4 linked regions of the Stegostoma tigrinum genome follow. The protein of the gene in region 1 purifies or fractionates together with the protein of each later gene. This does not show direct contact. Links are inferred from orthologs where the notes say so. Each region holds a gene or a part of one and is shown in the gene's direction. Other genes may lie near its edges.

Region 1 (6,876 bases):
AGATGACCTGTCTAACATAGCTAAAGCCAACTGGAAACTATAACGTGTAAATTATTGCGACTAACAGCATGGTTCCATCCAGCCCATCTGACGAGTCCGAGGATAGAGAGTGTAAAGAGCAGATCCTTGCTCCTATCCACTCTCTATCTTGGGACTCGTCACATTATGCCAGTGAGGAGCGGTTGGCTGACTGTGAAGTTGGTGGTGTTGTCACTCACTTTGCGATAATTGAACTCTCCGCTGGGTCAGCCTGTGGACTTCCTGACCAACCCTGGTCTGTACGGAACATCTCCTGCGATTCTGCTGTGGACCCTACCCTTGCCTCGCTTCCTGGCTCTCCTTCAGGCGTCAGGAGAGAGCTGCTCTCGGTGGATGGCCAAGACTCCACCAAGGGGCTAGCTATCCCAGCATCTGTCCCTTCACCCTGGCACACCGGCTGGTCAGTTTGTCTCGGAGCATCCTGAGAGGCCAGAGGAGGTTCTGTTGGAAGCGATGGTCTAGGCAGCTGGCACTGACCTGGTTTCACTACCTGGAAGGTGAGACATAACTGAGTCATTAAACACGGCACTTCCTCAGTACGTACCCCTCCTCTGCAGCATGTTGTCAGGTGCTTCCCCAGGTAGACAGGTCTCTGTTCTTACACTTGAGGCTGGCAAAGAGAGCGGTAGTCTGGTTGATAGTCAAGGCCAGCATTAAACCAGAAGGATGAGCTTGCAATATTCTAACCCCTTCAACCTGGCCTGTGCTCCTAACAATGCCAACCCTAGTCTCACCTTTTTGCCCTGCTGCTGAGGTATCCTTTGGGGAGAGGATGGGTGGTAGTGACTGCGGGAGAGCTGAGATTGTCCAAAAGGGTTTCCTGGACTAAACACAGAGCTGTCAGACAGATGGAAAAAAGACAATCAGAATCAGTGGCTTTACTGACAGCTTAAAAACCATTTACCAACACTGTGATGTTCACGGAAACCCCAAAACTGATCACTGATACCAATCCTGAAACTGAGAGAGAAATGGCCCTCTCACACCACTCCAAAACTGTGTCACTCCACGTGTCTGAGTCTGTTGTCTCTGACTCTCTCTCTCTCTCTCTCTCTCCCCCACCGTCCGTTTCTGACTAGTTCTCCCTGATTATCTCCGTCTGATTATGTCTTAAATATGTTAATATTAATAATCTGATTCACCCCTACTCTGACTCTCAGATTATACAGTGTTATACTTTGTGATTATATTATTGATAATCACTGACTCACTTCTACTCTGTCTCTTTGATTATATATTTATAAACATAGTATTACATTGTGAGATTATCTCATTGGTCATAGAGTCAGAGTTGTACAGTATGGAAACAGATCCTTTGGTGTGATTTGTCCATGCTGACCAGACATCCTAAATTAATCTAATTCAATTTGCCAGCATTTGGATCATATCCATCTAACCTTTTCTAATCATGCCTTTTAAATATTGTAATTGTATCGGCCTCCCCCACTTTCTTTGGGAGCTTATTCCATACATGCACCACCTTCTGACTGGAAAAGCTGCTCCTTTAGTCCCTTTTCAATCTTTCCTCTCTCACCTCAAACCTATGCCATTTAGTTTTGGACTCCCCGACCCCAGTGACAAGACAGTGCCTTTTCACCTTATCCATGCCCCTCAGAATTTTATAAACATCAATAAGGTAACCCCCTAAGCCTCTGAGGCTTCAGGGAAAATAGCCCCAGCCTGGTAGCAACATCCTTGTAAATCTTTTCTGAACCCTCTCAAGTTTCACAACATTTTCCTATAGCAGGGAGACCAGAACTGCACACAGCATTCCAAAAGTGGCCCTAACCAACGTCCTGTGCAGCCGCAATCTGACCCTCCCAACTCCTTTACTCAAAGGAGTAAAGGCAAGCATACCAAATACCTTCTCCACCAACCTGTCTACCTGCGACTCCGCCTTCAGGGAAATATGAGCCTGCTCCTCAAGGTCTCTTGGTTCAGCACACTCCCCAGGACCTTATCATTAAGTGTATAAGTGCTGCTCTGATTTGTCTGTCCAAAATGCAACACCTCATTTGTCAAAATTAAACTCATCTCCCACTCCCTGGCCTATCTCATCAAGATCCTGTTGTACTGTGAGGTAACCTTCTTCACTGTCCACTACATCTCCAATTTTGGCATCATCTACAAACTTACTAATCGCATTTCCTATTGTTTACACCTCTGAATAACTTCTAGGCTATCTCTCTCTCTCTAACTGTATGGTATATACATGGTGTTATGTTATTGATTATATGATTAAGAATGATTATATATTATTGACAATCTCTGATTCACCTCCACTCCATTTCTAGATGAGTGCTTTCATTATGTGAAGAATAATGCTTACATGATCACAATATTAGAACAGAGAACATAGAACAATACAGCGCAGAACAGGCCCTTCGGCCCTCGATGTTGCGCCGACCTGTGAACTAATCTAAGCCCCTGCCCCCACACTATCCCATCATTATCCATATGCTTATCCAAGGACTGTTTAAATGCCCCTCATGTGGCTGAGTTAACTACATTGGCAGGCAGGGCGTTCCACATCCTTACCACTCTCTGAGTAAAGAACCTGCCTCTGACATCTGTCTTAAATCTATCACCCCTCAATTTGTAGCTATGCCCCCTTGTATAAGCTGAAGTCATCATCCTCGGAAAAAGACTCTCACTGTCCACCCTGTCTAATCCTCTGATCATCTTGTATGTCTCTATTAAATCCCTTCGTAGCCTCCTTCTCTCCAATGAGAACTGACCCAATATTAATAACCTCTGATTCACCTCCACTCTTTTCTACAGTATATAATAGTCTAATTACATTAAGTGATGGTTATAAACTATTAAAAATATCTGGTTAATTGTGCTATGTCACAGTTTGTAGTTAAATATTATATACATGGTGTTATATGATATGATTGCTACCCTCTGATTAAGCTCCACTGTCTCTACAATATAGTGTTGTCATTACATAAGGAAGATGGCTACACAATACTCAATGACTGATTAACTTCTGTCTGTCTCTCTAATTGTATAGTATTACGTGATGTTATATTATTGATATGAACAAGAATGAGTATACAATATTATTGAGAAGCTGATCCAACCCCACTCTGTCCTATACCATACAATTATATTTATACCCATGATTATGTTACATAACATTATTAATCTCTGATTAACTTCTACTCTCTCTAATTATATATTATTGATAACCTCTGATCAGCTTCTACTGTCTCTCTCTCTCTAATTGTGCAGTGTGTATATATATATATATATATATATATATCCCTATATATATATAAAATACATATACACACGCACACACACACCTATACATATATAGACATATATATATACACACATACATGGTGCTATATTATTCATATAAGAATGAGCATATAATAATATTGAGAATCTGTTTCAACCCAAATGTCTCTATATTATAGTGATGTGATTATATTAAGAATGATGATTACGTTATATAACACTAATAATCTATGATTAATTTACACACGAATTAAATATTATACACATGGCGTTATATATGATTGGTAACCTCTGAATCAGCTCCACTCTATCTGTACATTATATAGTGCGGTCACTACATTAATAATCATGTAACATTGAAAATTGCTAATTACTTTGAACTGTTTCTCTCTAATTAAATACTATAAACCGAGGGCTATGCTGTATAACACTTCAGACCCTCTTTGATTCACCTCCACTTGGAATCCTCCATTTTCCCGCCGCCTTCAACGGTCACGGAGGAGGCGGGGCACATCTCATTGGACGCCAGGTGGAGGGCGGGGCTAGATACAAGACGGACAGGGCTACAGCCAATAGGAAACAGGAACGGTACCGCGTGACAGGATGGGATGAGAATTGACGTAAAAACAAGGAGGGCCGTCGGAGCCGGAGCTTCAGGTCAGTCTGACGTAGGTAGTGTTAAATGACAACACAATTAATGTAAAACTATAAAACTATAATTATCGTCAAAGGGAGGGAATAAACTACCAGCGTTATCACCACCACGGAGGCGGGGGGGGGGGGGAAACCGATGAATAAGACTAGCAGCAACCTACGGCAAATCCTCCATTTTCCCGCCGCCTTTAACGGCCCCGCCAAGGGGCGGGCCTTATAGGGGGCCGGCAGGAGGTGGGACTAGTGGCTTGACAGACGGTTTGGCAGCCAATAGAGCGTGAGGACGGGCATGACGTCTGTTGGGAGCGAGATAATAGGAAGTGCAGATGCTGGAGAGTGTGAGATAACAAAGTGTGGGGCTGGATGGACACAGTAGGTCAAGCAGCGTCTCAGGAGGGCAAAAGCTGGCATTTCTGGCCTGGACCCTTCATCAGAAAAGGGAGATGGAGAGAGGGTTCTGAAATACATAGGGAGAGAGGGGGAGGTGGACCGAAGATAGAGGAGAAGATAGGTGGAGGAGACAGACAAGTTAAAGGGGGAGGGATGGAGCCTGCAGAGGTGAGTGTAGGTGGGGAGAAGGGAGGGGATAGGTCAGTCTGGGGAGGATGGTCAGGTCAAGGGGGTGGGGATGAGGTTAGGAGGTAGGCAGTGGAGATGGCACTTGAGATGGGGATTGGTGAGAGGAAGAACAGGTTAGGGAGGTGAGGATGAGCTGGGGGGTCAGGGGATTCACTCATTAACAACACTCCACCCCCAGAACCCTGTGTTACTGGCTGTATCCCTACTGATGTTAATCCCTCTCCCTCACACTGTCACTCAGTAACCCCTCTCCCCCCCCCAGGGCCCTGTGTTACTGACTGTATCCCTACTGATGTTAATCCCTCTCCCTCACACTGTCACTCAGTAACCCCTCTCCCCTCCAGCGCCCTGTGTTACTGACTGTATCCCTACTGATGTTAATCCCTCTCCCTCACACTGTCACTCAGTAACCCCTCTCCCCCCCAGCGCCCTGTGTTACTGACTGTATCCCTACTGATGTTAATCCCTCTCCCTCACACTGTCACTCAGTAACCCCTCTTTCCCCCCCCCCCCAGCGCCCTGTGTTACTGACTGTATCCCTACTGATGTTAATCCCTCTCCCTCACACTGTCACTCAGTAACCCCTCTCCCCCCCAGCGCCCTGTGTTACTGACTGTATCCCTACTGATGTTAATCCCTCTCCCTCACACTGTCACTCAGTAACCCCTCTCCCCCCCAGCGCCCTGTGTTACTGACTGTATCCCTACTGATGTTAATCCCTCTCCCTCACACTGTCACTCAGTAACCCCTCTTCCCCCCGCCCCCAGCGCCCTGTGTTACTGACTGTATCCCTACTGATGTTAATCCCACTCCCTCACACTGTCACTCAGTAACCCCTCTTCCCCCCAGAACCCTGTGTAACTGACTGTATTCCTTCTGTTGTTCATCCCACTCCCTCACAGTCACTCAGTAACCCCTCTTCCCACAGAATGCTGTGTTACTGACTGTATCCATACTGATGTTAATCCCTCTCCCTCACACTCAGTGACACACCCTCCCAGAGCCCGGTGTTACTGACTGTATCTCTGTTGATGGTAATCCCATTGTCTCACACTGTTACTCAGTAATGCTGGCTGTTGGGATTGATTCTCTCTGTCACAGGTCTGTTTGAGTGCTGTTGGTCTTTGTGGCGATTGCTTGCCTATTTCCATCGTGTGAATGAGGCCCCACAGCAGTAACATGATTTCAGTTACCGTGAAAACTGAAAAAGCAGGTAGGCTTGAACTAACTGCCCTTCTCGGTGCTGGCTCCTATCTCTTCATCATTCCTTATCCCTTTCCTTCCCCATCATGACTCCCTCACCCTGAATTTATTCTGTGTTTCAAGTTCAGCAAGTATGGTCTCCCTCCAGTACCGAAGATAAGGTTTAAACATTCAAATAGGATGACAGAGTGAAACTGTTTCTTCTGCAGGGGAGCAGAGAGTTCAGAAGAAGGGACACTCTGTCCAAATCCCGGCTCGATCCACGTGAGACGGTGAGGAGGTTAGAGAGAATGAGAGGAAGGAAATTCAGGACCTCTCTCTTGGTATGCACAGCAATTTTTGGTTCATTGAGACAATTGCATGGAGGATGCTGACTGGTCTCCTCCTGTTCCTGTGCTACAGGCTCGAGGAGGGGGCTGACTGGCATTCTGCTGTTCCTGTGCTGCAGGCTTGAGGAGGGGCAATCTGGTCTCCTGTTCCTGTGAAGGAGGAGGTGGTGAATTTTTCACTGCTGCAGCATTGCTTCTACTCAGCAGGTGGTGGTGCTGAGCGATGGCTAAATCTGCATTAGAACAGACAGAACAGGGGAACAGGCCAGGTAAGGGAGGCAGCTCTAGACCCCTAGAGTTAGTCGGTGGCTAGGAGCAAGAGCAAGGACTGAAATAGTAGCTCTGCAGCAGGAAAGTGTTTGGAAAGGTTTGTGAGGGCAGAGAAATAAAAAGACCCCTGTTCTTACTGTCACCAGCTCAGGACAATCTGTGTAGCTAATGAAAGGCTTCCTTTTTTGAAGTGAGGACTCTGTTGCAATGGAAAATTTCCTCAGCGCTGACCGTCCAACAGCGCTGCACTCTCTTGGTACCCTGTTTACTTATTCCTTTGTGTAACAAAGTTTAGTCTCTTACATGGTTTCTGTGAGTTGCAGATCTTGAGGCTTCGACAGCTCGTAATCGTTTAGATGCAGTCCTCCAGTGTCTGGTTGAGAAGAGTGATATTGAGAGGTAAGTGTTTAGTTTTCCTTTGATTTGGACTAATTCACTTGGACATTGCCATTGATCTCTAAATAAAAACCAAAAGAACTGTGGATGCTGTAAATCGGGAACAAAAACAAAGTTGCTGGAAAAGTTCAGTAGATCTGGTAGCATCTGTGGAGGC
Region 2 (7,686 bases), on another chromosome or scaffold:
AAATGATGTGAGGTGTACATAAGGTGGATAGTCTGAGTCTTTCTCCCAGTGCAGAAATGTTAAATACTAGGGTCATAGATTAAAGGTCGGGGGTGGGGGAGTTTAAAAGAGATGTACGAGGCAAGTATTTTACACGGAGGATGGTAGGAGGCATGTAGAAAAACACATAAACAGTCAGGGAAGAGAAAAACATGGACCATATATAGGCAGATTGGCATTGTGGTAACTGGAGATATGATGGGTGGGTGGGGGTAGTGTTGTGCCAAAGGGCCCGTTTCCTGGACTGTACCATTCTCTGTTCTAGGAACTGCTGCAGTTCAAAAATGTGTGCCACTGCCTTCTCAAGAGAGTTAGGGATGGCAATAAATGAAGCCTATCCAGCGATATGTCACACATTATTTTGCAGGAAATAAATAATCTCTCCGTATCTTCTACTGAGCCCCTAGAATCTTGTATGTTTCAATTAGATCGACTGTCATCTAAAATCTAGAGAATACAGACACAATTCACTTAGCTTCTCAACATATGAACATCCTCTTATCCCAGGGATTAATTTAGTGAACATTCACTGTAACACCTCTAATGTAAGCAGTCCTTAAATACAGAGACCAAACTCTGTGCTGTATTCTAGATATGGTACTGTACAATGTAACAAGATTTTTATTTCTGCCCTCAAATCCCTTTGAACTAAAGACCATGAGTCATTATTATTTATTAATTAAATTGTTTTTAACATTTGACACTTCAGCTTTTATTCTAACTCCATGCGTATGTCTCAATTTTTATTTTGATCTCTTTTAGACTATTAAAAATTGAAGGATAATTAGTGGGTTTGCTGTCTGTGAGAATTCTTGAATTTGATTCACTGTTTAGGTTGGTTGGTGACATCACTGCCATACAAAAGGCATCATCCCTTCCCTACCACCACCATAGCTGACATCAGAATAAAGCTTAATGTCAGGGAAGTTGAAATTCACTTTGGATGGTTAGATCTGGCTGGTGCAGAAGCAATGGGCTGAAGGGCCTTTTTCTGTGCTACAGACTTCTATGACTATCTTAGTGGGTAATTCATCAAAGTCAGCAACAAATGTTGTCACTTTCCTGCTGACCACAAAAATCCATGCTGTGGCTTTCAAGGCTAGAAGTGGTGTACCATAGGGATTATTTCTCTATTTTCTTTCTCATATATACAGCTGATTTGTAAGTTGAAATTGGTGATGAAACAAAAGTAGTAAGATTGTGAATAACCGCAAAAAGACCATATACAGGTTAGAAGTACAGATAGACAATTTACTGTGATTAAGAATTAAATATTGCATCTTTAAAAGCAAGGAGTGGATGTATATTTTGAAGATGTTTTACTTCAGGGTAGCTATTGTGGCATCACCTCATCATTTTTCATGGTTTCATGCCAGTTTAAGTGCAAGTCATTCAACATCATGTTAGGAAAACTGGATTTACATGATACATTCAGAAGGATGTCATGGCTGGTTTGCTATGCAGAGTGACTTAAACAATGTGTTCAATTTCTGCACTAGCTGAGGTTACCATGAAAGACTGTCCTTCTCAACTTCTCCCCTCACCTGAGGCATGGTGACCTCACGTTAAACCACCACCACTTGTCTCGAATGAGAGAGCAGCCCTATAGTCTGAGGACTATGGCAACTTTACTATCATTTCTAATTTTGAAAGTCATGCATCTCTACAACATAATTCATGGCCACAGGACTCTGTAAAGTGCTTTATACCCAATTAAATGCTGTTATAATGAATAAAACACAGAAGCCAATTTATGCACCACAAACTCAAACAAACCACAATTTTATAACGACTAAATAATCTGTTTTGTGATATTTCTTGTACTCCGCTTCAGAATATACTGAGTGGTTTTTCGAGGCTGACTCTCTAGTGCAACATTCCTTCAGTACTGCACTGAAATGTCAGACTTGATTTTTGTGCCCAATGCTTAGAACAAGACTTTGTTCCACAACTTTCTGACTTAAAATCCGGAGTGCTAGCAACTGGGCTAAGGCCAATAGATTGAAAATATGGTTTGCTTGTGGTGAGACACATTTTAGTGCAGATTGTGTAGCAAGACAGCAGAATTCCTGAGTGCATTACAGTAGTTTCTGCTAGCCATTGTATAACCTCAGAGAAGTAGTCATCCACTAGAGGATACAGGGATGGATATAAACAAGATGTTAACATTATGGTGCCATGTGCAATGGCTTCTTTCTTGGATTGTTTTGGGCAGCACATTAATTACCTAAATAAGACCAGCACCATTGACTGGATGCAGTTCTAGGTGATATCTAATTGTCATTAATTCTTCCTTCCATTATCAGTGAGTCAGCCTCCAATATCCACATGATATAATGTTAGCATTATCGTTTAGGAAGAATCAGTCATCTGTCCCAAACGACTTAAACTCTCAAATGTTGAAATATTCAATTATCCACTTCCCACTGAATATCAATAGCTGATCACCATGTAGAAATAGGAGTAGCTGAATTAAAGAAACAACATTGTTGTGACTGCACAGGAAGTATTTGCTTTGTGGCTTTTTCTGAAGATCCCACAGTCTTAGGCTGCTACGCGTCTGGATCCTTTGAAGTTGTTAGTGCAGGCATTTGCAATGTGTCTCGGTCTACAGCGCAAAGCTAAACAGTGTTGCAAATGCAGCAGAATACATCTAGATGTCAATGGCCCTTGTTACAATGTAGTTTTCTACAATGTGACTGGTTTCCCCAGAGAACAGTGTGCTATTGATAAGTGACATTACAAGAAGAATCCCCTTGGAGACAGCATCATATATGGAAAGGAAATGAGTCCAGTTCATGATTATTCAGCTGGTCTGTGACCTTCAGGTGTACCAAGATATACCTGCCACTCTGTCAATTTGCTCAATGCTCTTGTTTTAAAATAGCTTCATCTGACAACAATATTTTAAGATGATGCCTGTCCATCTGGTTGGTTGGTTTGCTGGGGAAGCAGCGATGCTGTTGTTAGCTCCACCAACTGTGCCACAATTCATTTGATCCAGAAAACACCTTGGGGTCAGCAGTACATTCTTGAATTGGGCCAAAATAAACATCTGGTAAATATTTACCTGACTGTTCAACTTTAGGGGAAGGGCAAGTAGTCATGCTGTCAGCTAGGAGATACAAAGCTGAAAGAAATAACTGGGTTCCTGCCCAAGCAAAAGAATATATCTCAGCATATTGTATAATTTGGATTTACCAAATGTGTCAAACCCTGGAAGGAAGCTGTGATTTTGCCAGAACCAAGTTACAGATGGAATGGTTAACAATAACTAGCTTCAGATTTGGGAAAAGTATCAGTAGATTGGAAAGGCCACACCCTTATTCGAAATGAACCAGAGACAGAAAAAAAAAGCTAACTATATACCAGTTAGCTTAACATTTGTCATTGGGAAAATATTAGAATCTATTATAAAGTAAGTAATAGCAGAGCATTTGGAAATACATAGTATAATCAAGCAGAGTCTATAATGGCTTCATGAAAGGGAAATCCCTGTCAAATTCATTAGAATTTTTTAAAGAGGGAACAAGCCAAATAGATATAGGAAAATCAGGGGATTAAATACTTACTGGATTTCCAAAACCTTTTTGAAAAGGTACCACACACTAGGCTATTTAATAAGAGGTCATGATATTGGTGGTACTATATTAGCATGGATGGAGGTTTGGGTAACTAATCGTAAATTGAGATTTTGGATAAAAGTCTTTTTCAGGATGGTAATGTGTAACTATTGGAAAAATGCAAGGATCTGTGTTAGGGCCATAATTATTTACAAACCTTTAATAACTTGGATGAAGAAAGTGAACGTAATATCACCACGTTTGCAGATGACACAAGAGAAGGGAACACAAATGATGAGGATGACACAAACAGTCTGCAAGAGGATATAAACCGGTTAACCAAGCGGGCAAAAGAATTGGTAAATACAATATAATGTGGGAAATTTTGAGAGGTTTTACATTGACAGGAAGAATAGAAATGCAAATGTTATTTAATGGGAAAAGATTGCAGAAAGTTGCAGCACAGAGGGATTCAGGAGTGTTGATGTATGTATCACAGAAAGTTAGCATCCAAGTTCAATGAGTATAGGGAAGGCAAATGGAATTCAAGCCTTTATTCCAAAGGGAATGGAGTGTAAAATGGTTGCTACAATTTTTACAAGGCACCTGTCAATCTAAACCTGAAATACTGTGAACAGGTTTGGTTCTCTTGTCTAACAAAAGATATCTGGCATTGGTGACAGTCCAGGGAAGGTTTATTAGTTTAATATTGGGTATGAAGGAAGTTTCTTAGGAGGGGTTGAGCAGAATGGGTGTTTATTGATTCCCTCCAAATCTTTCTATTAAATCTCCTCTGCATGCTCTCTGCGATGTGGAGGTCATGTTCCCCTCCCTTGCGATTTCTTTCCCAGTACTAGGCTGGCAGCTGGTACCCTGTAAGAGCAGCCCCCCCCCGCCAAAGCCTGCACTGTGCTTTGCCAGGTACTGGGCAAGGAGTAGGCAGGGCCTAACCCAGGAAGCGCTGTGATTGACGTGGCCGCGCGGCCACTTAACGATCAGGAGGCAACAATCGAACGTTCCGACGGGCAGCTGGGCAGACCAATCAGACGGTGGCAAGGGCGGGACGTTGGGCTGTCAATCAAGCGGCTTTTAAATGGCTACAGTGCGGCCCGCGAGCGCTGCCTGAGCCCTCCCGGGGACAGCGACAGCGGTATTTCTGCAACTGCTACTCCTGCAGCAGCACTTCCACTAACCCACAACCCGACCGGCCATTCCTGCTCACCAGCCACCATGGCCAGCGAGGACGAGCAGGGCGGCTGCCGGACCTGGCAGAGGTTTGAGGAACTTTGTCAGAAATTGAACATGGACGAGGGTGCAAAATGTGAGGCTTGGGCAAGTTTCGAGAGCATCAGCAGGACATACACCCTGGAGGTGAGTATGACAGGGTGTGGGGCAGAGGGTGAGAGAGAGAGACACAGTGGAAGCTGCCTGACTATAAGGGGGCGTGTACCCGAGGTGACATCCGCGAGTAAATAAGTACCCACTGACAGCTGAGGGGGAGGGGAAGGGTCAGAGGTAATTCATTGCGTGTACATTAGTTTGAAACATTGGAATTCAGCGTACAAGGAATACATACATCAGGCTATTGCAATCAATTCGTTTGAAAGTTAATGTTTTGCCTGTTTTGTTTTTAATTTTCACGACGGGCTGAGCGGGTTTGTTGCTGATGCTAAACCTTGCAGAACAGGGGCAGGCCTGCCCTTCGGCGCTGCCATTTAAAGTAGTTTAAGGTCCTCGCTCCAGTTCGAGAAACCTGCACATTCTCGTTCAGCAGTGCCTTGCCCGGCCCACCTTGCCAAAAGCAAAGTTTCAAACCGTCCACGTAAACAACTGAGCCTTCAGTTGCAAGAGGAAGCACCGGAAGAGCGTCTCGCCAATGTATGCTGTGAATTTGACATATGCGGAGATAAGAAAGGCCAATCAGGCAACCAAAACATTCAACAGTTTCTCCATCAATGCCACTGTTTACGCACCAAGTACCCCAATTAGGAGTGCCCTGAGTGTTAACCGCGAACAAATTATTTTGCGATACCTAGCATCCTGTCAGATTAACTATGACCCCGTGTCTTACTCTTACTGTAGTTTGAAATAAATAACTTTTTTAAAAATCGTGCCCTCCATGTTTTTGGGATATTCAAATCACTTAACAGCCAATCAGTTTCTGTTGAAATGTGTTCACTTGTTTGTTGCGACGTCAGGTTTCACAAACAGTAATTACATTTTTGTTTTTGCAGCCTAGGTAGAAATTCAGACAGGACCTCTGCCTCACCCAATGGTCAAATGATGTACAAATCCAAATCAGTCTTGTCCGAATCTATCACTCTGTCATATGCTGAAACCATGGTATTGGAAGGTCAATCAGCAGCCTTCCGATTATGATTCTGATTGTCAGTGATTGCATTCTTGCCTTTGACAATGTTTTCGATTTATCTCTTAGATTGTCTGTTGTAATTATTCATACAACATTGACATTAAAGACTCTGTGTTTCTCTCAACATATTTTTGTAACCTTTATGTGCTTTAAATGTTGAAAAGTTATGTTTTGTTGCAAAGATCAGTTGGATGCAAGAATGGAGAGGTTGTACTTCAGTTATACAGGGCATTGGTGAGACCACATTTGGAGTACTGTGTACAGTACTGGTCACCGTGCTTGTAGACGGATTTCAACGTGTTGGAAGCAGTTCAGAGAAGGTTTGACTTGACCCACACCTGGAATGAATGAATTGTCTTTTGAGGAAGGCTGAGACAAGCTAAACTTGCATCCTCTGGAGTTTAGAAAGGTCAGAGGTGACTTAATTGAAACATATAAGATCCTGAGGGGACTTGACCAGGTGGATGTGGAAAGGATGTTTCCTCTTGTGGGAGAATCTAGAATTAGTGATCATAGTTTAAGAATAAAATGTTGACCATTTAAGACAGATGTGAAAAACATTTTTCTCTGAGGTCTGAGAGACTTTGGAATTCTCTTCCTCAAAAGTCAGTTGATGCAGAACCTTGAAATATTTTTAAGGTAGGTAGATTCTTAATTTCCAAGGGGTTGGAAGATTATTGGGGGTTTGCAGAAAAACAGTTGAAGTCAAAATGAGGTCAGCCATGATCTTATTGAATGGTGGAGTAGGCTTAAAGGGCTGGATGGCCTAGGGAACTACGAGTTCCTTGATTTGTATGTTTGTATACTAGAGATCCTTGTAATCAACATCTCCAGAGTCTAACACCAAACTTGCTGATTTATGAGGCCCTCGTTAAAGTAGATGGAAAACACAGCTACGTAAGATTTTTTTAAAATTAGGGATTCCCAACAATTGGTGCCTCCGTTCCTGTCAAAGATCCCTCATTATTGTTATTTCCCAGCATCGTGCTCAACACTCCGACAATTCACTTCCTCTCTTTTCTGCCTGATTTCTGATGTGTCAACAATGCCAACCTTTCTAATTAAGGTATGCAAACATAAATGTTGCACACCATGATGTATCCATTGTGTTTGACACAATCGGCCCAATTCATCACCTCTCTCACACGTATTTCTTTGTAGCCTATGTTCACAAGACCACCTGTTCAGTGTCAGCCACAGCACTGGATTTTCTACCACCTCAACCGTTATCTCTGCAGAACATTTTTTGGCTATATTCTTGCCTACCTTTTCCCGTATTGACAAGTTGCTCCTTAGTGATTGACACTGACACTATTCATGGATTCATCTGACAGCCATTTCTCCTCTGTCAGCCTGTCTATCTGAAATTAACACATGCTTGAGCTTGAACACATGTTTTCTGACAGCAATCAGCAAAAGATTGAAAATATTTTATTTTGCTCCCATTAAAATATTTTTCACTTCCCTTATTCCCATAACTTGAAATCTAGGCCCTTGCTATATTTACAAATGTCTGAAATATTCCAACATAATTTACAAATTCCTGCCTACCAGCTGCAGAAAGAGACGTTGGAGTACAGCTTGATAGTTCCTTGAAAACAGAGTTGCAGGTAGACAGAAGCAGGAGTTTGGTATGCTTGCCTTTATTGCTCAGCACATTGAGCATAGGTGGGACAGGACATTGGTTAGGGCACTTTTGGGAAATATGCATTC
Region 3 (7,825 bases), on another chromosome or scaffold:
ATGGAGTAACATGCTGTTTCCCTCTACTTTTCTGGAATGTAACAATCACAGCCAATGCCCTAACGCTTCATCTAATGAGCTCCAATGACGTACAAAAGCTAAATCAGCAGGAAGCAAGCTGAAGAAATGCACGGAGATGGGAGAGACTGAAATGAAGTCAAATTAAAATTTATATACCATTATGAAGACCAATGCTATTTATTTATTGTGGGCTGTGACTGTCTTCTGGGCCTACAGAATGTCCTCCTTGAAATGCCTGTCAACACTCAGTTTTATCTGCAAGTAGCTACTTGAGTCAAAACATGTCTTAGTAAAATTGGTCTTTTCCCCAGTTTAGAAATTATCCATATCCATTAGAGCTACCATAAATCTAACTAAATTATGGTCACTCTCTCCAAAATGATTCCCCACTAGTGTTTTCCACCCGTCTGGGCTCATTTCCAGACATTACGTCTAGAACATTCCTCTGCCTTGTGGGCTTTCTGGCTTAAAAACAAAATTCTCTCAGACGTAATGTAAGATTTTTATTCCCTCCCTTATCTTGCACAATAATATTTGGTCAGTCAAAATACCATATAATTTACATTTATTATTCCCACATTTAATTTTATGTATTTAATCCTCCTGTCTTCCAGATAGACCTAATATCTGGAAACGAGCCCAGATGGTTGGAAAACACTAGTGGGGAATCATTTTGGAGAGAGTGACCATAATTTAGTTAGATTTATGGTGGCTATAATAGATATGGAGAATTTCTAAACTGGGGAAAGACCAATTTGACTGCTTGAGAGCCTATAGTATGTACCCAACAGTGTATTTGTCTCCTCTGTTTCTTCTATTCTTATGGTGTCTTTTAATGATCCTTCCAAGATATCATCTCTCCTCTTCTATTCCCTTATTTATCTTGCCTAAAAGCCCCATGAACAGGAATGTTGAACTGTCATATATGCTTCCTCAGTCTTCCATACTCACTCAACTGCATTTTAATTTCTAATTCCATCTTCGCTTCTCTCCCTTCAGAACTACTTTTTTGGATACCATCCTCTATAAAAGTATTAGCAAACTTCCCTGCAGGAATGTTGGTCCTGTTCCTGTTCTGATGTTACCCGTCCTACTTCCCCGATTTTAAATGATCCTAGTACCTCAGCAATCTAAAGCCTTCCTTCCTGCACAGTATCTCCATCCATATACTCATCTGTTCTATCTTCCTATTCCACTACTCCCAACTGAGTGGTTCCAGGAATAATTTTGAGAACTACCTTTTTCAAGTCCTCCTTTTCAATTTTCTACCTAAATCAATAAAGTCTGCTTGCACGACTTTGCTTATCATTCTTCCTATGCCCAAAATGGACCATAACCTTGCACAGTTCATCCTCTCCTTTCTGAATACACTGTCGCTTCTCTGTGACATTCTTATCCTGGCACTGCCCTGGAGCCATATTTACAATCACAGAACTTTCTGTCTACTTCTTCCCCTAACTAAACCCCTAACATTAGATCCATTCCACAATTCTTCCTTTCCCAAGCCTGAACATCTGGAACATTCACAGTGCCATAGCTTTGGTTCTGTCTGGCATCCATGGAGGAAGTGTCGCTCTCACTTTGTCCTAAGGCTGAAAATCAGTTTCTAAATGATATGCAATTGGGAATCCTCTCATCTATTGTCTGGTCCCTGTCTTTTGTCCAGCAGTTACTCATACCTTCTCTGTCTGCAGTTCTTTTAAGCTGCAGAGTGACCTTGCCTTAAAATGCGCTGCGCACAAACCCCTTGACTTTGTGAATGCACTGTACTGCCCCCAACTGTTGCTCAAGCTCCAAACCTAGAGCTTGAATTGCTGCAGCTGGAAGTACATCCTGCACATGGTCATGTAGACAATTGTGATTCTCCCATGTACAAATCAATGACTTGATCTCCCCAAACTAAATAGAAATGTAGACTGTTGCATTTATTTTGCCCTTGCTCCTAACAAATATGGACTTTAAAAAAAATTCTTATGTCCAACATAGAACAAGAACACTTTGACAACATTTTTTTGTTTGATGGAGTCATAAATATATACAGCATGGAAACAAACTCTTTGGTCCAACTTTTCCATGCCAAACAGATATCCTAAATTAATCTAGTCCTATTTGCCAGCATTTGGCTCATACCTCTCTAAACCCTTCCCATTCATGTACACATCCAGATGCCTTTTCAGTGTTGTAGCTGTACCAGCCTCCATCACTTCCACTGGCAGTTCATTCCATATGATCACCACACTCTGTGAAAACACTGCCCCTTAGGTCCCTTTTCAAGTCTTTTCCCTCTCACCTTAAACCTATGCCCTCAAGTTTTGGACTCCCCTACCGTGGGAAAAGGACATTCACACTAACCATGTCCCTCATGGTTTTATAAACTTCTATATGCATTCTGACAATCAAGACTATCAATTTAACTGGGACAACGTGACCATCCTAGCTATAGACACACATAGAAATTCCTAGATACCTGGTTCTCAACTCATGATGCAATCAATAAACATGTGGAAATGGACCCTGTCTAAATACCCTTGAAAAAAAAAACAGATGACACAAAACACCTCAACAGACTGGATCATATAAATACTTAGTGGAGTAGAACAACATCGCTTCATCGGAGGCCGTACTGATGATGTTACCTAGCATGGTGATGAAATATCTGAATTATAACCAGTCAGCTCAGTAAGCAAGTCAACAACCTCAAACTTCTATAAGACCACCTCTCTGCCTCCAATGCTCCAGGGAAAATAGCCCCAGCCTATTCAACCTCTACCTTTAGCTCAAACCTTCCAAATTCCAGTAACATCCTTGTAAATCTTTTCTGAGCCCTTTCAAATTTAACAATGTCTTTCCTGTAGTGGGGAGACCAGAACTGAATGCAGTATTCCAAAAGTAGCCTAATCAATGTCCTGTCCAACCACAACATGACCTCCCAACTCCTACACTCAATGCAATAACCAATAAAGGTGAGCATACCAAACACCACCTTCACTTCTGAGGAAGGGTCACTAGGCCCAAAATGTTAACTCTGTTTTTTCCTTCACAGATGTGCCAGGCCTGCTGACTTTTCCCAGCAAATTTGTTTTTGTTGCTGATTTACAGCACCCGCAGTTCTTTCAGTTTTTACTTTCTTCACTATCCAGTCTATTTGTGATTCCACATTCGAGGAACTATGAACCTGCATGCCAAGGTCTCTGTCCACCAACACTCCCCAGGACCCCACCATTAGGTGTATAAGTCCTGCCCTGATTTGCCCTTTCAAAATGCAGCACCTCAAATTTATTTAGATTAAACCCCATCTGCCACTCCTTAGGACAGCAGCCCATTTGATCAAAGTCCCATTGTACACCCAGGTGAGGTGTGATAACTGCTATGTATAAGTTCAACATCACTTTGGATGAGAGAACACAGCCTGTGACATCATAGGAAATTGGTGAGTTAATTAGTTGTTGAGTAACTGCTGTTAGTGATTGCATTACAACTCCAGTAATTTCGAAAAATGTAGGGTAGTGAATCTGTGGAATTCTTTACCACGGAGGGCTATCAAATCTGGGTCAATAACCCAAGGCTGAGAGATTTTCAATCAGTAACAGAATCATGGGTTATGGAGTAAGAAAAGCCAAGAAAGAGGTGCTGAGGATTATCAGATCAGCAATGATCTCAAAGGGCTAAATGACCTACTTCTGCTTTTAGCCTCATGTTCATGTTTTTAAACATATGCCAGGGCAGCTCATCCAAGCAGAATGTATGTCCTGTGACATGTGGACAATCATGACTACTTCTGATCAATTAGATGTGCCCATGCAATGAAGAGTCACTGGCTGCACCAGCTTTAGCTCTAGGTTTTAAGCTTGAACATCAGCTAGAGTCACCTGAGGTACATCCAAGATGCAAAGATCTACTGGATAACATCTTCAGAGAATTGGAGCACAAGTTAGGACATGAGACAGACCGGCAATGTGTGATCACCGGGTGGTCCAAAAGACATAGGCAGGTAGGTCATGTTCACCAACTGGTTTTTCATTCTGGATATTGGTTAGCATGTTGGATCCTTGAAGGAGTGTAGTCAGAGCCTGACTCATGCCATCACAGATGCTGTACAGGAGAGGATGAAGCAGACTGGAAAGGTCGTATTGATAGGGTATTATTAAAGGAACAGCATCTTTCCCATCTGTGCTTTTCCAGCAATTTCTGTTTTTGTTTGTGCAAGAGAAACTCAAGAGGTCTGGCTGTTCACTGGACTCGAAAAGTCGACTGCTTTCTCTTACTAGATGCTGCCAGACCTGTTCAGTTTCTTCTGCAATGTATATGTTTGCTCTTTACAAGCAAGATTTCCTTCTTTTGCATTAGCAGAGGTGCTGGAATGTCTGTTTAGGTGCGCATTGGTGAAACAAGTTGACCCATTTTCAGGAAGGAGCGGTGTAGAAACGGTTCGTTGTTTCGCACATCCCGCCAGATGGAACGTTGGCCCGGGAATGGGACGGACGACTTCGTCAATGATCTCTGGCATTCCGCCAAAAAAACCCCAACTAAACAATCTTAATGTTAAAGTCCAACAGGGAGCAGGGAGATTGGGCTCGCAAAGTAAAAAAAATAGGGCGGTAGTTCTCGTTTCTCTTTTCACAATGAATCTTCACCCCTCCGCACAGATTACAATCAAAGCCCCAATTTGTAAATGGAACGTTAGCCCGCGGGGTAATGGTGCGGAGCGTAGGGAGGGGGCGAGGCACACCGACCTTGGGGGCGTGTCCAGAGGGGAGGCGGGTGATCCAGTGGGCGTGGCCGTAGCCAGTGCGCAAGCGCGACGGCGGCCAGCGAGAGCGGCGCATTTGGCGGGTTTTAAGAAACGGCTTGCTGGAGTAGGAGCGGGAGAGTGTCGGAGACAAAGGTTCGTTAACTTGTGAGGTGCAAGATCTTTGTCGGATGTATGAACGGCGGTTTGGATAGTTTTGTTTCCTCTTTTTGTTTAAAAGAAGAAGGTTATTACTTTTTCTAGTTACCCAGCTTGATGGTGGTCGACTCCCAGGCCATAGTGACCCTGAGGTAGTCCTTGTGGGCCTCTTTCCCCTCCCCATGGCTCAGAAGACTTTATGGTGAGTGACCGACCGATTTGATGATGATTTGTTTTAAAAAGATAGGTAAAGCTCACTTTGATTTCCCTCTCAGCCGTCCCGATGTGTGGGACGCGATATCCTGTCCCCCACCCCCAAGAATAATTAATGCTTGCAACATTCCATGTCTTTGACAAAGTAATGAGAGAGATCGTTTCTGAGCTTCGGTGAATTCATAATGTGCTTGTAAACTTGCATCGGGAGGAAATGGAGAAAACCATATTTCTTTTAATTTGTAGAGGTTTATTGAGATAGAGGATTCTTCAAAACTGGGACAAATTACGTTTAAGTGGGGATTATATTGCATTTACAAACTCTTAAAACGTGTTGGAAATGGCTGGGTATGGAATAAAAGTTGACTTTTGGTTCATTCTGTGCATGTTGAGTTAGCTGGCTGCCATATCTAAAGAAGTGTGCACCTGTAACGAAACCTGCCTTTTAACCTCTTTTTGTCCATTTAAATTAAAAGCGGAAAATTTTTCTAGTGAGTTTCCATTCCAGGTGTTGGCCTCCTTTCACCATAGAAGTTATGGGTTCAAGTCTCAACCTAGAGACTTAAGTATTTATTAAATGCTACTAAATACAGCAGTATTGGATCTTCGCTGGGTGGACCTGAACGATCCTTTGATGTTTTGTGCTAAAAGATTGAAAATCATCACTTTGTACAAAACGGAAATTGCTGAAGAAATTGAATAGCTTTGGCAGAGTCAACGTTTCTTCGTCACTCGCAACGTTGACTCTGTTTTATCCTCACAGATGCTGCTAGACCTGCTTTGTTTCTCCAGCAATTTTTAACTTTTGTTTTCCAGTTTAGGCAACTCTGGTTTTTTTATTTTCATGGTTATGTGACGGTTTGTGAGACCTAGCAATGAGCATATTGGCTGCGTTGTTTCCTATATGTTATCAGTGAACAGATTCAAATGTTTACTGTGAAGAGCGTTTGGACTGCCTGAAGTTCAGAACAGCGCTACACAAATGGTAACTGTAAAACCAAGAAAGTCCAACCATTTTATCTCCTCCTTTAAAAACTTAACAGGGACACAGATGCCTGGAAGTTTTAAGATACTTCATATTGCTGGTTTTTCTAAATAAAAAGAATTAGTGGAAAGATAACAAGACTTTTGCTTATGGTTGTGAACTTGCATCAGCAAGGTTTATAATTATGTTATGTCTTGAAATGATTTAATACATCAGGATATTAGACTGTTTTTAGTTTGTCTTGTTGGCCTTTGATTAAATTGCTAACAAAATAATTGTGTAGAAACGCTTAACAAGTATTGTTTTATAGCAGAAAATAGATTTTTTTTTGAAAAAGCTGCTGTCATCCAGAAAACACTGATCATATTGTACGGATTTTCTTCCCCAAACATATTCTTTTTCAAGTCATAAACTAGTGTTTGACTATAACAGGAGTGTGGTTTTCCTGCTGTTGAATCTTAAAAATTTAGAAGTTGACCCATAGAACATCAAGATATTTTTTGTAAAATCCCTAAAGTGTCGAAGTAGACCATTTGATCTACTGAGTCCACACCAACCCTCTGAAGACCATGTCATACCCTCTAACTAATCCTTGCAACCGAGCATTTCCTATGCCTAATCTGCCTAGACCTGGACACTATGGGCATCTTAGAATGGCCACTTTACCTAACCTGTACATCTTTGGATTGTGGGAGAAACCCATGCAAATATGGGGAGAATGTGCAAACCCCCACATAATGTTGTTTGAGGGTCAAATCAAATCTACGCCCCTGATGCTATTAGGTAGCAGTGCTAACCACTGAGATACCATACTGCCCTTTTTTTTTAATGGGTTTACAATTTGCTACCAGACTAGATTCCATCTGTTCTTGGTCATATATCTGTACTATCTTCAGGGAGCTGTTTTTGCATCAGTTCGTATAGTCTAAATATGTTGACCTCTTCACCTCCCTTCTGAACTTAATTTTAGAGCCTGCTTTATCTCCCCTTGCTGGTCAGGATATTGTATATTTTGAGTATTTCCCTAATAGAAAGAAACGTGACATGTTGGTCCATGTTGAAAACAAGTTTCTATCTTGTAAACTTGGAGAAAGCATAGTATTACACCCGAGTGGACTTCAATATAAATCACGAAAGTTAACAAACTTGATCCTCCTTATTCCACAAATTAAGTTGACTCTGCAGATTGCTGTTTCAACTCTAACTCATATTGAATGCTTGCATGAATCTCTCTACTTCATGATGTGCTTTCTTTTCATAAACGTACATGCAGTGAAGAATTGGATGAACCTTCACAGGATTTGGATTACGATATTCCGGATCACAAAGATGCAAATAAGTTCTTCAAAGTCAAATGGTCTGCGGAAGAGGTATCTGCTTTGAAACCAAATTCGTGTGTGTGTTGTTTTTAAAACAAAATTAGAAATACACCTAAAAAAATCACCCATTGTAAAACTCCAGCGCCTGGTTTCTCAGAATAGAAATGTTTATATCAACTGAAGTGCAATGTGATATGTTTGAAGTTACATTTGAATCTGAAATACAGAGCATTTGCAGAACTGTGGTGCATCTTTCATTGATACGCTTCCAGATAGGATAGAAATTCAACTCATGGATTGATATTATTTAAAACATACAAAAATTCACTCCTAATTTACCATTTTAAAACTTTTCATAGCTTGTCTAGTTAGGAACAAGTATTGTTGCCAAATATTTTA
Region 4 (7,968 bases), on another chromosome or scaffold:
TCCCAATTATAAACCTTACCCTGCTGTATGTACCAATCCTTTTCCATGACTATTGTAAAAGTAACAGAGCTATGACCACTACCATCAAAATGCTCTCCTACCAACAGGTCTAACACTTGGCCCGGTTCATTGCCAAGCACCAAATCCAAAGTGGCCTCTCCTCGTGTTGGTCTATCTACATACTGTGTCAGGAATCCTTCCTGAATGCACTGGAGAAAATCTGCTCCATCTGAACTATTACAACTAAAATGTTTCCAATCAATATTTGGAAAATTGAAGTCACCCTTGACCATAACTCTGTGACCTCTACACCTTTCCAGTATCTGCCTCCCAATCCACTCCTCCACTTCTCTGCAACTATTAACGGGTCTGTAAAAAACCCCCAACAAAGTGACTGCTCCTTTCTTGTTCAGGACCTCAGCCCAAACTGACTTTGTAGACCTATCATTCTCGAACTGCCTTTCAGTAGCTGCTGTACTAGCCCTGACTAGCAATGCCACTCCCACACCTCTTTTTCCACCCTTCCTATTTCTTTTAAAGCATCTAAATCCCAAAACGTCCAACAACCATTCCTGTTGCTGAATTACCCAAGTTTTTGTAATGGCCACAACATCGTAGTTCCAAGATGGGTTTGGAGAGTCAGGAGGGTATTTCTTGCCTCAATTGCTGTTGTGGCCTCTATGTTTATAAGGCTGGTCCAGCTTAGTTTCTGGTCAATAAACATCGACCAAACTCCCCCACCTCTCCAGAATGGCAATAGAAGATAATCCAGTGATCATGATACTGTTGAAAATTATGATGGAGTGGTTGGACTCGTTGGTGTTGGAGATGGCTACTACCTTGCACAGTTGTTCTTTTTCCCCATCAAACACTTCCAGGACAGGTACTGTGCAGCGTTGCAAAGCCATCAGAATAGGTTAAGGTCAGCTGGCAGCAAAATGACATGATGAACTTTCCTTCATATCAGTACCCTCAGACAGTGAAGGCCATCAGTTTAATTGGGACAATGTAACCGTAGTAGCCCAAGCCAAACATAGACATGCATGGGAATTCCTAGAGGCACGGTTCTCCACCCATACTTCAATCAACAAACATATAGAGTTGGACCCCATATACAAGCCCATACAGATCAAACCTGGAAATGACAGTACTCACCACAATGGACCGGACAGTATAAATTCCAAGTGGAGTAGAACAACATCACTTCCCCAGAGGCCTCACTGATGATGTCACCAAGCATGATGACGAAACGTCTGAATGAGAACAAGCCAGCTCGGTGAGCAAGTCAATAACCCCACCCACAACCCGAGCTACAGATCTTTGCCAACACTGTAAAGCTCCTCTACTCTTTTAAACTGGAAGTATAGTTCTCTCCACGTTGTCCTCATCAAAAACTCCCAGGTCAAGTTCAACGCAGAGTTTGACAGTGAGTAAAGTTCCTTCAAATCTTTTAAATGGAAAGAAAGCTGAAAATAAAGGTCTTTCTACACTGTCTCCATTAAACTCTCCCAGGATAGGGACAGCATAGGGACTAGCAGCAGAGTAAAGCTTTGTCTACACTGTCCTCATCAAACATTCCAAAGCAAGTACAGCATAGAGTTCAATATAGAGTAAAGCTTACTCTACTTTTTTAAAACAGAAAGTTAATGTCTCTTAACACTGTCTTCATCAAATGCTTCTTGGACAGGCACAGCACATAGTGAGTAATGCTCCATCTACTCTTTTAAACTGAAAGTAAAGCTCTCACCAATTGGACGGTTGTCTGGTTTCTAATTGTTCAGCATACTTTGATGCACGCAGGCACAGACTGCTTCATGTCCATGGAGTTGTGAATGGAATTGATCATTGTGCATCAAACAGTGAACATCCACATTTGAGAGAGAAAGTCATTTTGGGGCCTGATGTTTCTGCTCGCCTTGACCTCTGAGGTGGAAGGTCAGGAAGGAGCTATTAACGGAGCCTTAGAGAATATTTCCAGTGCATCTTGTGCACTTGCTGCCATTGTGCATTGATGATGGAAGGAGTGAATATTGGAGGTGTTAGATGGAGTGCCAATCAAGCGGGCCACTTTATCCTGGATGGTGTTAAGCTTCTTCAGTTTTATTGGAGCTGTTCGCATCCAATCAAGCACAGAGTATTCCATCACACTCCTGACTTGTGCCTTGTAGAGGGAGACAGTATCTGAGATCTGAGTTAGCGGCCACAGAATTCCTAGTCTCTGACCACTTCTTGTTGACATAGCAATTCTACTGTTAGTCAATACATGTGGAGCTGAAGGAACGCAGCAAGTCAGGCAGCATCAGATGAGCAGGAAAGTCGGCATTTTGGGTTTACACCCTTCATCAGGATCTTTCCTGTTCCTCTGATGCTGCCTGACCTGCTGTGTTCCTCCAGCTCCACACTGTATTCGCTCCGACTCCAGCATCTGCAGTTCTTTTTCCATTTCTACAGCTAGTCCAGTTCAGCTTCTCATCAATGGTAACCACAAGGATGTTGGTAGTGGCAGGTTATCGTTGACTTAAGTGTCACTTAATAACATGACAGACAGAAGCTTCCAACAGTTTGCTGAGGTGGTAATTGGCCAGGTAGGATTGTCCTGTGCTTTTGTGCACAGGACAGGCACAGGCAATTTTCCACATTATTGGGACGATGCCAATGTTGTAACTGTACAAGGGCAGCATGTTTAGGAACATAGCAGAGCAAGTCTGTGGTAACATTGCTGGAATATTGTCAAGGTCCATGATCTTCACAGTGTCCAACATCTCCAACTGTACCTTGATACCGCATGGAGTGCACTGACTAAAGCCTGGAATCTGTAATATTCAGGATTTCAGGAGGAGGCTGAGATGGATCATCCACTCAGGTCTTCTGGCTAAACATGGTTGACAGTAATTCTATCTTGTCTTTTGATTTAACGTGGAAGGCACCTCCATCACAGACAATTTGTGGATCCTTCTCTTTTCAGTTGTTTAATTGTCCATGTTGCTCATGACTGCATAGGGTAGGACTGCAACATTTAGCTATGATTCATTGGGTTGTGGGATCCTTAGCTCTCTCTATTGCTGTTTAGCCTGCAAGTTGTCCTGTGTTGTAGTTTGACCAGGTTAACATATCATTTTGAGGTATGCCTGGTACTGGTTCTAGACATGTCCACCTGTACTCCTCATTGAACCAGGTTTGATTATGGAGTTGTTTGGCAATAGTACAGTGGGGGACACACTGGGCCATTAGATAACAGATTCTGGTTAAATACAGTTCAGCTGATGATGATTGATAGCACTTCATTTGCAGTTTTAAGTTGCTAGATCTGTTAATAAGGAGGACTTTTTCGGGACAACAGGGCTGTGGGTATTATTATTGTTTCCGACGCTTGGTCAATGCTTTTGTTTTTATTCCTTTCTTTTAGGCTTTGTAGCAGTTTGATACAATTGAGAGGCTACTATGGCTACAAGCAAAGTTCGAATGGCATTCAGGTCATACTAGTGGCAGATTTTCATTTTTTAAGGCCATTTTAGGACCTGATGGTTTTTGATGACAATTGCTAGTGGTTTCATAATTACTATTAGACTAGTTTTTGATTTAGTCACAGAACTAAAAATTCACCATCTGACATGAGACTTGAACCCACGCTTCACAATGCTTTAACACAGGTCTTTGGATTACCAGTGACGATAGAATGAAGCCACCACCTCCCCAAAACATGACAAATGTGGAATGAAGGTGGTTGGCAGAAGACCTTGGAGGGAGATTGGTGGAGGGGTTTGGGCAGCTGAGCCGAAATCTTCTTTCATTCGGAACATTGTTGTTCAAAAACAAGGAAAAGGAGCAGGAGGAAGACATTTGGCACCACAAGCTTACCCTGCCTTTCAATGAGATCAGGACTGATAAACCTCAGGTCTCAATTCCTATTTCATATCAATATTTCACAGCCTTCAAACTTGGATGTTGAAGATGGCTTCCTAACCCCACCCCAATGTTCCAAACTTTATGGAGGGTATGGGAGGGTTGCAGAAGGAGTGTGGGTTTAAAGGCACTTCCTAAGGCAGGCAGGTTTGTGGTTTCTGGGGAGCATGTTTTTAATACACGGTCCCCGAGGTAGGCAGCAGGAAGTTTTGCATTTCTTGATATTTCAGTGATTTGCAGATGTTCCTTGGGTGGTTTTGTGACATGTGGGCAAAGTGGCAGTTTGCAGATGCTGCCTGAGAGCCACAGTTTGTGCTTTGCTGGAAGTGTGGTGTTTTGATGATACTCCTTCACTGGTACTCCTGTTTGCACTTTGCCGGGAGAGAGGCAATTTGAGAACAGTCCCTTGGTGTGGTCGGTGCTGTTTGCCCACTGCATTTGATGGCAACTGTTTGAGGATGCTCCCTGGCTGGGGCATGCTGTTCGAGCTTTGCGCAGAGGGAGGCAGTTTAGGGGCACTCCCTGGTGGGGGGGCCAGTTTGCTCTTTGCGGGGACGGGTGGGGTTTGAGGACGCTCCCTTGCTGGGATCTGGGACAGTTGACAGCTTGCAGAGAGGGTGGCAGTTTGAGGATGCTCCCTGGATGGGACCTGGAATTGGGGGGGGGGGGGAGGGGGAAAGAGACTGTCTGCGCTTTGCGGAGAGGGTGGAGGTTTGAGGACGGTCCCTGGCCGGGGCTGTCTGCGCTTTGCGGAGAGGGTGGAGGTTTGAGGACGGTCCCTGGCCGGGGCTGTCTGCGCTTTGCGGAGAGGGTGGAGGTTTGAGGACGGTCCCTGGCCGGGGCTGTCTGCGCTTTGCGGAGAGGGTGGAGGTTTGAGGACGGTCCCTGGCCGGGGCTGTCTGCGCTTTGCGGAGAGGGTGGAGGTTTGAGGACGGTCCCTGGCCGGGGCCCGGTTTGAGGTTGTTTGTTGGGGCGGGGGGGGGGGGTGTTGCTGTTTGCTCCCAGTTCAAATCAGTCCCGGCGTGCTGCGCGCTGCTAACGGCTACCGACCGAGAGAGACAGAGAGAAGGATAGAGGGAGGGAGGGAGTGAGTGAGTGAGGAAATAAAGTGAGTGTGTTGGTGAAGATGGCCGAGGCCTTACCGCAGACTCCGAGCAGGCATGAGAAGAGCCTGGGACTCCTCACCACCAAGTTCGTGTCCCTGCTGCAGGAGGCCAAGGACGGGGTGCTCGACCTGAAAGTGGTGAGGGGAGCGGGGGTTTAATCCGGGGGGGGGGGGCGGGTACACGGCCCCTGGGGGTGGGGTTGGATTCACCCCCCCCCCCCGGGGGGGTAAGGAGCACCGAAAGGCCGGCACACACACACACACACACACTCCGCCGGCTCTGGGAGAGGAATGAGGAGCGATTTTTTTTCGGGGGGGGGGTGTTAAAAGGGGAGGGGCAGCTGGACACCGAACAACCCCCCCCCCCCTCCGAAACCGGAGACACCGCGCGGCCTTGGTTGGGGGTCGGGGGGGAGGGGGGTTTGCGGGAGAGCACGTGCTCAACCTCCCGGTGCAGCGCGTCCGCTTCCACCCCCCACCATCATTCACATTGGTATCGTCCTACTCAGCTACCCCACCCCCCTACATTCCCCACTGACCACCCCCCCACTGACCCCTCCCCGCCACATTCCCCACTGACCCCTCCCCTGCCACCTTCCCCACTGACCACCCCCCCACTGACCCCTCCCCGCCACATTCCCCACTGACCACTCCCCTGCCACATTCCCCACTGACCCCTCCCCGCCACCTTCCCCACTGACCACCCCCCCACTGACCCCTCCTCTGCCACCTTCCCCACTGACTGCTCCCCACTGACCACTCCCCTGCCACCTTCCCCACTGACCACACCCCCACTGACCACTCCCCTGCCACCTTCCCCACTGACCACTCCCCTGCCACCTTCCCCACTGACCACCCTCCACTGACCACTCCCCTGCCACCTTCCCCACTGACCACTCCGCTGCCAACTTCCCCACTGACCACTCCCCTGCCACATTCCCTACCGACCACCCCCCACTGACCACTCCGATTCCACATTCCCCACTGATCACCCCGCTGCCACATTCCCTACCGACCGCCCCACCACTGACCATTCCCCACTGATCACCCCCCCACTGACCATTCCGCCTCCCACATTCCCCACTGACCACCCCCTGCCACATTCACCCTGACCACCCCCCCAACTGACCACTCCCTTGCCACAGTCCCCTGCCATATTTCCCACTCACCATTCTCCCTCCCCCACTGACTACACCCCCCACATTCCCCCTGACCACTCCCCTGCCACAGTCCCCACTGATCACCTCCCCAACTGACCACACTCCCCTCACATTCCCCTCTGACCTCCCCCCCCCCATGTTTCCCACTGACCAAGCCGCCCACCTCCTCCACTGACCACCCCTCTCACTGACCACATTCTCCACTGACCACCCCCCCCACATTTCCCTTTGACAACCCCCTGACATTTCCTTCTGACGCCCCCCCACCTCTCCCTCAATGTCACCACCACCACCTCCCAGTTCCCCACCCCCTGCTGTCCCTCAACACCGCCACCCTCCCGGTTCACACTCAGCCACCCCCCTCTGCCTGAGCCCTCCTTCCTTTAACCCCCCCCAACCTCTGAACTTATTTGTTTCCCCCCCAACCTCTGTTCTCCCTCCCCCAACAGCCCTCTGTCCCTCTCTGCCACTGTGTGTGTGCGGGTGTCTCCCCCTCTCTCTCATTATTGGCAGTAAGGGTGAATATTGTCTTTTATATGACATTGTACTAGAGGACCGAGGAGCCCTATCAAGTGTGCAGGTGTCCTATTGCTGAATTCATTGCTGTGGCTACGGGGACCATTCACACTGAGTCACTGTTGAAATTCGCTGGGTAATAACTGTTCCTGCAGTCGCACAGGTAAAGCTTTGTTTTGCAGCACTGTTTGGCAAAGTCCGAGACAATGCTGGAATCTGTTCAACAGCACACATGGTCACTCTGGTTCAGTAGCTAGGTGCATTGTTGAGTGCCACACACAGTTAACCAAAGGTCAGGGGTTTAATCCTGCGCTGAGCCACTGCATCTCAGTTAGGACAGCCCTAAAGTATTTGCTTCAGTCACCGCTCTGGGTGTCCTGTGAGGGAAAGGGATACATGGAAGAGATCTAATTAAGACATGCAATTCTAAAATGCTGCTCACACTGTCGAATAGCTTGCCATCAGTCTGGGCTAACAGATAACAGTTGTTCCCTTGTGTTAACATTGCAGAGGGTGGGTGCGGCTTCAGATTGAGATCTCGGGTGGAGCTCAGGAAAACGGTGGGAGAAGTACCCCATTGGCATCAGAAAGTTCCCATTGCTGCTATCTTGGAGAAGATGTGAACCTATTTAAGTCCTTCTTGATTTAGGCTGCTGCTGGATTCATGATTGATCTTGACCTTTGGCCACTTAGTTAAAGAAACTGTGACTGAGCCAGTCCAGTGCTATCCGTCACCATGTGTCCTCTCCTTGGGCCTGGGTTTTGGTCATGGGTTTGTGGTTTCAGCTGTTCAGTGGTTGGTCAGACCTTCGGTTGCTGCTGTCAGCCTGCCGGCTGCAGCACCTGCCAGTGTGGCACTGTGATACTCGGATCCCGAGGCTTTCCACTACTGACTCTGTCAGCGTCTCGTTGTGCCGTGATTCCTCCCACAGTTCAATAAGCCATCTCATACCGTCCCATTAGAGTGCATGTCACCCAGGTTTTAGGAACAGGTCACTGCAGTATGCGAAAGGATTCTCCACTCTCGGTGAGGGACAAAACGGCAAGGCTACATCGAGGGAGAACATTGCTCGCAGCTAGTCTAGCTGATTGGGGAATTCCCCTGTCAGTCATTCCTGGAGGCTGGGGTGGGTGGAGACTTTGAAGGTTTGGTCCACAGTTTGGAGAATCTGTCAATATATAGCCCCAGTTCCCACCCCCACCTCCCTCTTCCTGCCTGTGTCTCTGGTGTTACAATCATTCTAAAACAAAGCTGTTGTTAGTGACAGCCTGTCTGTGTTATCC

Evidence for each region.
Region 2: the proteins of lin37 (region 1) and rbl2 purify together in Homo sapiens (affinity purification with western blotting; 5 studies listed by BioGRID and IntAct, with this or other methods). This does not show direct contact. The link is inferred for Stegostoma tigrinum from reciprocal best matches to the Homo sapiens genes LIN37 and RBL2.
Region 3: the proteins of lin37 (region 1) and mybl2b purify together in Homo sapiens (affinity purification with mass spectrometry; 6 studies listed by BioGRID and IntAct, counting the BioPlex papers as one, with this or other methods). This does not show direct contact. The link is inferred for Stegostoma tigrinum from reciprocal best matches to the Homo sapiens genes LIN37 and MYBL2.
Region 4: the proteins of lin37 (region 1) and e2f4 purify together in Homo sapiens (co-immunoprecipitation; 4 studies listed by BioGRID and IntAct, with this or other methods). This does not show direct contact. The link is inferred for Stegostoma tigrinum from reciprocal best matches to the Homo sapiens genes LIN37 and E2F4.

Annotation. Positions count from the first base shown.
Region 1 is NC_081394.1:565,616-572,491, forward strand, and holds the start of lin37 (protein lin-37 homolog), read left to right. Parts: upstream 1-3,869; 5' UTR 3,870-3,945; exon of another isoform or gene 3,946-4,067; intron 4,068-4,103; coding exon of another isoform or gene 4,104-4,117; exon of another isoform or gene 4,118-4,135; intron 4,136-5,622; 5' UTR 5,623-5,679; coding exon 5,680-5,734; intron 5,735-5,933; exon of another isoform or gene 5,934-6,276; coding exon of another isoform or gene 6,277-6,322; intron 6,323-6,646; coding exon 6,647-6,722; intron 6,723-6,876. Other genes in the region: proser3 (proline and serine-rich protein 3), read right to left, coding at 219-529, 774-876, 3,741-3,802.
Region 2 is NC_081369.1:24,613,113-24,620,798, reverse strand, and holds the start of rbl2 (retinoblastoma-like protein 2), read left to right. Parts: upstream 1-4,672; 5' UTR 4,673-4,832; coding exon 4,833-4,973; intron 4,974-7,686. UniProt on the Homo sapiens protein: Key regulator of entry into cell division. Directly involved in heterochromatin formation by maintaining overall chromatin structure and, in particular, that of constitutive heterochromatin by stabilizing histone methylation.
Region 3 is NC_081372.1:17,805,018-17,812,842, forward strand, and holds the start of mybl2b (v-myb avian myeloblastosis viral oncogene homolog-like 2b), read left to right. Parts: upstream 1-4,823; 5' UTR 4,824-4,906; intron 4,907-4,912; exon of another isoform or gene 4,913-5,014; 5' UTR 5,015-5,091; coding exon 5,092-5,111; intron 5,112-7,380; coding exon 7,381-7,477; intron 7,478-7,825. UniProt on the Homo sapiens protein: Transcription factor involved in the regulation of cell survival, proliferation, and differentiation. Transactivates the expression of the CLU gene.
Region 4 is NC_081369.1:8,293,762-8,301,729, forward strand, and holds the start of e2f4 (transcription factor E2F4), read left to right. Parts: upstream 1-4,950; 5' UTR 4,951-5,029; coding exon 5,030-5,146; intron 5,147-7,968. UniProt on the Homo sapiens protein: Transcription activator that binds DNA cooperatively with DP proteins through the E2 recognition site, 5'-TTTC[CG]CGC-3' found in the promoter region of a number of genes whose products are involved in cell cycle regulation or in DNA replication.